2 linked regions of the Nothobranchius furzeri genome follow. The protein of the gene in region 1 interacts with the protein of each later gene in a biochemical or structural test. Links are inferred from orthologs where the notes say so. Each region holds a gene or a part of one and is shown on either strand. Other genes may lie near its edges.

Evidence for each region.
Region 2: the proteins of atm (region 1) and rpa1 form a complex in vitro, tested with the Homo sapiens proteins (3 studies listed by BioGRID, with this or other methods). The link is inferred for Nothobranchius furzeri from reciprocal best matches to the Homo sapiens genes ATM and RPA1.

Annotation. Positions count from the first base shown.
Region 1 is NC_091753.1:29,135,182-29,138,999, reverse strand, and holds part of atm (serine-protein kinase ATM), read left to right. Parts: intron 1-28; coding exon 29-161; intron 162-251; coding exon 252-347; intron 348-427; coding exon 428-599; intron 600-672; coding exon 673-814; intron 815-884; coding exon 885-1,061; intron 1,062-1,139; coding exon 1,140-1,317; intron 1,318-1,380; coding exon 1,381-1,489; intron 1,490-1,796; coding exon 1,797-1,955; intron 1,956-2,407; coding exon 2,408-2,516; intron 2,517-2,676; coding exon 2,677-2,765; intron 2,766-3,001; coding exon 3,002-3,104; intron 3,105-3,207; coding exon 3,208-3,356; intron 3,357-3,421; coding exon 3,422-3,526; intron 3,527-3,602; coding exon 3,603-3,722; intron 3,723-3,814; coding exon 3,815-3,818.
Region 2 is NC_091753.1:47,680,827-47,684,644, forward strand, and holds part of rpa1 (replication protein A 70 kDa DNA-binding subunit), read left to right. Parts: intron 1-664; coding exon 665-772; intron 773-882; coding exon 883-969; intron 970-3,807; coding exon 3,808-3,818. UniProt on the Homo sapiens protein: As part of the heterotrimeric replication protein A complex (RPA/RP-A), binds and stabilizes single-stranded DNA intermediates that form during DNA replication or upon DNA stress.

The sequences.
Region 1 (3,818 bases):
TTGTTTTCCCACGTCTTTCTTGTTGCAGGAGATCCTGCACTTCCTGTCAGCGTCATCCTGCGGCTCTTTACGTCTGACCCGACTGGAGGGGTTAAAGGAGCTGACCCGACAGCTGCGTCACAACAAAGGACAGATTCAAGAGCTGCTCAGAGAGTGCCACGGTGGGATGCTGGAAAAGTGTTTCTGCATGAGTAAAATCACCTTTTGTGTTGTGTAACACTCACGTCTTCTCTCTCTGGCCTCGTGTGCAGCTAACCCTGCTGACAGTGTGTTGGTGAAGCTGGTTCTCGCTCTGTTGCAACTCTGCAAGCTAGCTGCCAGTTATCCTGAAGGAGATGACATTTTAGGTACCGGATCTGCTCATTTCTTGACTTCCGATGAGTTTTTATGTGATGTTTTTATTAAACAGACAGCTTTTGTCCTGCAGAGGCAGCAGGCAGCTGTTTGGGAGAACTGGGCCCAGTGGACTTCTCCACCATCGCCCTCCTCCACGGCAGGGACCCGCTCTACGAGAAGGCCGTGGCTCTTTTCACCTCCACTGAGTCACAGCAACTTTACATCATCCTGAACTGCATGAATGAGGCGCTCACGCAGCAGCGGTACCGTGGAAGCTGTGACTCTGGTTAAACGTTCTGCATTAAGTGTTTGGGTTTGATTGTTTTTGTCTGTTAGCATCGAGGTGAGGCGGGCAGCAGCTCAGTGTGTGAGGAACATCCTCGCCACGCAGTCTGGAGCTGATTTCTGGGACCAGCACAAAGACAACAGAGACCCCCTGCTGGTTTACCTCAATCCCTTTCGAACAGCCAAGAACAAGGTGGGTCGGGTTGAAACGGATTTCTTTGTTTGTGTTTTGGAGTTAAGAGTTGGTCTGTCTGGGTGACCAGGTGGCTGCTGTGGCTGCTGTGGAGAGCTCAGAAGCCAAGAAGAAGCTGGAGAGCCAGGAGTTCTGGTATCCCCAGGCAGGTAGACACCAGGCCTGGCTGAAGGCTCTGTGCACAGCTCTGCTGGACAGCGGGGGGGCCAAGAGTGAGGCTCTGCAGCTGTCCGGACCACTGTGTCAGGTGAGCGTGTGGACACGGTTACTCCCAAAACGGCTTCAGTCACCAAAACATCCGCCGGTTCGTTCGGTTTGTCTCCAGGTGACGGTGGACTGCTGCCAGAGGCTGCTGCCTCTCATCATCCACTCTGTCCTGCTGGAGGACCCCAGCGGGTCCTGGAGGGAGCTGCTGTCCTCCCACATCCGGGACTTCTTCAGTTTTTGTTCCAGAAGCGCTCAAACCACCAGTCGGTCCACCACACCTGCCAACTCTGACTCGGGTAGGTTTACAAACAAAAGAAAAAAGAAAAAGCTGATTTTTATTAATTAATTAATTTTTCCAGCAGAGTCTGACTCAGCCTGCCAGAACTTGTGTGACAAGGCGTCTCTGCGCACCATGCTCGCTGTGATCGACTATCTGAGACACCAGCAGCGACCGCTGGAGGCTGATAGGTTTGTGGGTGTTCTGATTCTTTTTTTAACCTGTAGAAAGCTCAGCTAGAACTTCCTCCAACGTCACTTCAAACTTGAGATTTTTTCGCCCATCAGACCTTAAATGCGACTGCCTCATACATAAAGAACTGTTGTAGCTGCTCTGTTTTAGTTTGCATGGATTACTGTACCACCTCTATGGGTGAAGGTCCTGCAGCTGTGTTTGAAAGCACCATAGAATATATCTGTTAACATGATGGTCCAGGAGGACTTCCCATTCCGCCGCGTTCTTGTTGTAGTTCCTGAATCCCTGTCGTTATTCCTGCAGTAACTCCTGTGGCACGGTGTGTGACTCCAACTTCTGGCTGGACCTGAACTACCTGGAGGTGGCCCGAGCTGCTCAGTCCTGCTCCGCCCACTTCACCGCTCTGCTCTACTCGGAGATCTACGTCGACAAGATCAAAGCCAACATGGAGGAGAGGCGCAGGTAATCCCCAGATTTATCACGCTCGCTGAATAATGAAACATGGCGTTCTTAATTTGAGCAATCCTGCTTTAATTCTATTGGTTTTCATCACCAGATGATATTGATTTAAAACTCCGGCGTAAAACGTTGGAGGTGATATGCGTTCCTTCAAGGAACCTGGGTCTTGAATAGACGCGTGACATGAAGTTAGCTGGCAACTGGAATCAGTTTGATCAGTCTGAATCTCAGAAATATGAATTTTTTTCTTGTGAGCCTGTGAACTCACGTTGCTAAAGCGCTAATTCAGGCTAGCAGTACCAACACTTCCATGTGGACGTTTTCCCTCCCAGAATCAGGATTTTTAAGGTGATCAGGTGCATTGGCATTCAAAGCCAGGACTGATGCCTTTTCCAGTCTCAAGTGTTTAATTTAAAGATAAAAATGTTGTTGTTGGATTTATTGAACAAATGAAGGTCCAAGTCCAGAGCAACACGAAAGATCAATTTTGAGGACGACAGCCAGAACGTCACCATCTTCAGTCTGACTGAGAGGAGCATGGAGGACACCAACATCAGTCTGCAGGTCTGCTCTGCCGCTAACATGCGTTTCCTAAAAATGTAGCTGGAATTTAAAGTCACAGATTTAAAAGTGAAGCTTGGCTTTTGTTTTGTAGCTTGTTCTACTGTCATAAATCTTTAACAAAAGCCTTGTTTTCCCCCTCGTCTCCCTCTGGCTGCTCCAGGATCTGCTGATTGAGGTGTATCGCAGCATTGGAGAGCCTGACAGTCTGTACGGCTGTGGAGGAGACACCACGAGCAGCTCACTGACCCGGTGAGCTGCTTTTATTATCGTAACTGAGGGTTTTACCAACCTTCAATCCTACACAATAAGTCAAAAACAGCAGAATCTTATTTTAAAAAAAAGCTTAATAATACTGTTTGAGACCTTTATTGTGAAGGGCTGAAGAAAGTTCTGCTGACACTAGGCTTAAAAAACGACTTTGGGCTCTGGTGCACCAACATACCGTACAGTGTTTGATCAGAATGTTTTCACACGTTGGTCTACAGGATTCGGACGTACGAACACGAGGCTCTTTGGGGGAAGGCCCTGGCTTCATACGACCTTCAGTCTACTCTGCCTGAAGTCACTCGGCTGGTGGGAATCGTGGAGGTAAGGCGGTTAAAGCTGCTGCACTAAATAAATGTATGTAAGAGTAGGAAGAAGCTGTGTAGTTGCCAGTCTGAAAGGCTTCTGATGAGACATGTGGCACCAGGGCCTGCAGAACTTTGGTCTGAGCAGCGTCCTGGCCACCTACCTGAGGGGTTTGGAGAGCCAAGGGGTGGAGTGGGGGCCTGAGCTGCGAGAGCTGCGCTTCCAGGCGGCCTGGAGGAACGCCCAGTGGGACTGTGAGCTGTCAAACAGGTGAGGAGCAAAGAAATGATCTGATTTGGTGAATTTTAATTCACTGACCTGTTCTGCTGTAATAGGAGTGACGAATCCAACCCCGGCTTCCATGAATCAGTGTTTTGTGCCCTGCAAGCGCTGAGAGACAAAGAATTTCTCATTTTTGATGAAACTCTGAGACAAACCAGGTACAGTTGATGCATAAATAATCCAGTTTGTTCCCAAATATTCTCCAAGTTAACGCTAAAATGTGCATTTTTGCAGGGGTGCAGCAGTGGAGGAGCTCTGCAGAGGGAGTCTGGAGGCGGTGTCGTCTCTGTACCCGGCTCTCAGGGACTTGCAGAGCATCGGGGAGCTGGAGAGCATCAGACAGCTCTTCTCCAGGTGGGTAAAAGTCAAGAAAATGGAGCCAGTGAAACAAGAATGTATGAGCCAGATGAAGATCAACACTAAGGGTTTAAAATCTTTCCTGCCAGGCCC
Region 2 (3,818 bases), about 19 Mb from region 1:
CCTCTTAGCCAACAGCGGTGGCAGATTTAAATTCCAATGCAGTGCAGAGTTTTTACCCGACGACGGTGCAACACTGACAGTTTTAGGCAGAATATTTAAATTTTAACTAAAATGCACTGAAGTACCAAATTATTGACCACACATGTCTGCAGCACAATTAGACACACATTTATATAGTTTATCAGCAAAAAAAAAAGTTGATTTGGGGGTGACTTGCTCTTTAAGATTGCTTTAAGGCATTGTTGGGTTAAAGAGCGCAGAAGAACACAAAGCCGTTTCCAGAAACCTCCACTCAAATAACCTTTTATTAACAACAATCTCAGTAGCAAAACCATAAAAGCCAGTAGCTTTTGTTTAGTGCCTCTCACCATGTGACATATTGTTCCTTACAAGCTGAAAAATAAGCTGTGAAGCTGCTTCCACTGTGTGTGTGCGTGTGTGTGTGTGCGTGTGTGTGTGTGTGTGTGTGTGTGTGTGTGTGTGTGTGTGTGTGTGTGTGTGTGTGTGTGTGTGTGTGTGTGTGGGGCAACCGTGCTTCACAAGGCTTCCCAGCAGCAGCTACCCTCACCCCAAAAGAAATCACACTTAAAAATGAAAAGTATCATGATAAATTCACCTCAGGGTTGCCTGATTGTCATCTTTCTGGTTGTTTTTTCTCTGTCAGGCTAACATTGCAGATTACACCGACAACCAGTGGGTGACTTGCTTCCAGGAGAGCGCAGAGGCCATTCTGGGCCAGAATGCAGCTTACCTGGGCCAGCTCAGGGACTCGGTGAGACTCTTCCACAATATTCAACGGAATTCAAATGTGCTCAAGTTTTTATCTATTGGACATGATTTGCTTTGAGTGTATTAAAGCATTTGTATTTGTCCTGATGTCAGAGTGAAGCTGCGTTGGACGAAGTCTTCCAGCAATCAAATTTCAACACGTTTGTCTTTCGTAACCGAGTGAAACTGGAAACGTACAACGTGAGTAAAAAACAACCTGGGTTTTATTAGCACGGCTGTCTTGTAAAAGCTGATTGTCCCAGAATACTGGTGGTCTCTCTCAAACACGCACGCACGCACACACACACACACACACACACACACACACACACACACACACAGCCTAGCTGCGGTCACTGTTTCCTGTAGGCCACACAGATGAAGCCTTGTTTGGAAGGAAACATAAAAGAATTGATTGGGCTGGGACTCTGAGCAGGAAGTTTGGGTCCGGGCCAGAGGCAGCATCCGCCTTCAACACACAGAAGAGGCCACTGTGTGCATCTCAGTCAGCCAGCATCCTAACTGCCAAGGGCGCTGCTAACAAGCGTGTATTAGCCCGTGCTCCAGACACCAGTTTACTCCAGCAGACACCTGTGACACGTCTTTCGGTTCATTTACTCATTCAAAGCCACTACCTAGGTCGTGTGAGCCTTGTCCTCCATGTTTATGGTCTGTTTACACTCTAGGAGTCTCTGGGTAATTGAACCAGACCTTCTCAGCGTGTTTTTATTTTACCGGGCCGTTTCAGTGACAGACTGAGTACCTGGACTTAGGGTTGTCACGGTAACCGGTGTAGCAGTAAACCCCGGTAAAAAAAGTTGACAATAATAACTGTCTTGTTTAAAAAAAAAAATCTTGTTGGGTTTACCGTGGCTGCGGTGTAGGCGCAGTGACCCTTACCAGCCACCGTATCATCTGCTGAAGTTGCCGGCGGCACATGCGCACTTTGTTGTTTACAACCAAAACTTTCTTGAAGCTAAAGCTGAAATAATGGCCAAAGGAGGAGACGGCAGCGCTCAGGACATTTATTATCCCTCAAGGAAGACAAAGTGGGAAGTACGGGCATTTTTTGGATATTTGAAGAATGCCGAGGGACAGTTGATAGAAGACGGCTATCCTGTTTGCAGCACGTGCAGAAAAAGTGTCTGTGGAAGGCAGCAACGCTTCAAATCTCATGACACATCTGCGTGACCATCACCCACAACGCTACAGTCAACGCAAGGCAAGCTAACGTTAGCGTTTTAGCTAAAATGCGTGATCCGAGGATTTGGGTTGAGGGAGAATGCAACGAGTCGCTATATAAAGCAGCCGCAGCGCCGCTACCTGCATATAAACCGTGTCGCGGACACCCCCATGTTGAAATGACGCTATGCATTACGGGGCTCCCAGGGGCAGATAAGAGTTGGTCTCTCTCCCAGAATAATTATGAATTTAACAATGATTACTGCCTGATGACATTTCCCCACATCTGCAAAGCTCACTGGAAGAACACAAACTGAGGACAATATTTCCTGATATAGGGTTTATTACTCAAGTAAGGGTAAAAAAAAAGTATCTGATTAGAAGGCTACTTGAGTACTGAGTATCATCTGATCTAATATTTTTAAAAAGATGACATCAAACAGACAAAATAAGAAGTTATGGGCAAATATTGGTATTTTAAAGACCAAAAGTAAAAAATGTAAACAAATAAACAACATAATTACAAAATAACACATTTTAGGCTAAATTTGGACACAAACTGAGGACAATATTTTCCTGACATACAGGGTTTATGTAGTTGTCTGAAAATGTAACACGTTTAAAAAAATACCGCGATAATACCGAAAACCGTGATCATTTTGGTCACGATAACCGTGAGGTAATGTTTCCACACCGTGACACCCCTACCTGGACTAGAATATGCCCCCGGACGGTCAATGACCAGACTTGAGTGCCATTTTTTTATGGTGCTCTGTAGCGGACCATTAGGTGGCAAAAATGAGGGTGTTGTGGAGGATTTCTGCCACATTTTTTAGTTTTAGGAATTTAGAATTGGTGATTTTTAATGCAGCATAAACGCTGCTCATTTTTCTTTCCTACGATTCTGCTCCACCAGCATAAGGGTTGATTGGCAACCTCTTGTCGATGTGATTTCCTACTGAGTTACAACCAATCAGCAAGATTTGACCACAACTGGCGCCGGCGACTCTTCCGGGCTTTTTCCAAAGAGAGTTCTGATAGTGGAAACATGGCTTTTGTAGAACTTTTTGTTTTCATTTTTAATTCACTAGAATAGTTTTTGCATTTGTAAACATGTGATGTTGTTAGTTCAGAGCTTTTGTGAGTTGTAATTACAACTATTTAAAGTAATTTGGGATAAGTACCGTGTTTTACTTTTAGAAACTGGTATTTATCTTTTTTATTATTTTTTTTAATTCTGGCAAACATTCATTATGGTTAGGACTGGGCAGGGTTACCCAGGCCTTAAATGAGTTTTTAGGTTACAGATGAATCGAAAACCATCAATATATTTATATATATATGTATATATATATATATATTTAGCATAAAATGCTTCTCCATTTTTCTTCATCCGAAACAAACGAGCAATAAGACGCTTCGTAAGGAAAGTAGGCATCAGTCCAAGCGATGGCGGGTTACGTTTTAGCCACTTCAGCAACAGAGATTTAATGGAGAAAAATTGAGCGTAACCTCTGTTTAAATGCAGGGGTAAATGGCCCTGAGAGAAATCACCACCTCATGTCTAGACAGCTGTGGAAGCTAAATGCCATCACACTTCACATACCGCATCCAAGCGCGCTGCACGGGAGGATGCTCGCGTTTGTCCACCGCTGCTTATAAATTCTATGTGAACATTTCGTATTGCTGCGTAATAAAGGGTAATGGAGCATATTGTGTTTGGTAAATACCACACCCTGAATGCTCTGGCTAATGCACAGAAATGCACCTTAAATGGGAAGATGTGACTTTTTCTAATATCAAAAATAACTTTTGTAAAAAAGTTGTTTATTTTTTTCTTTTGTGTGTGTTTGGCAGGATGAGTCCAG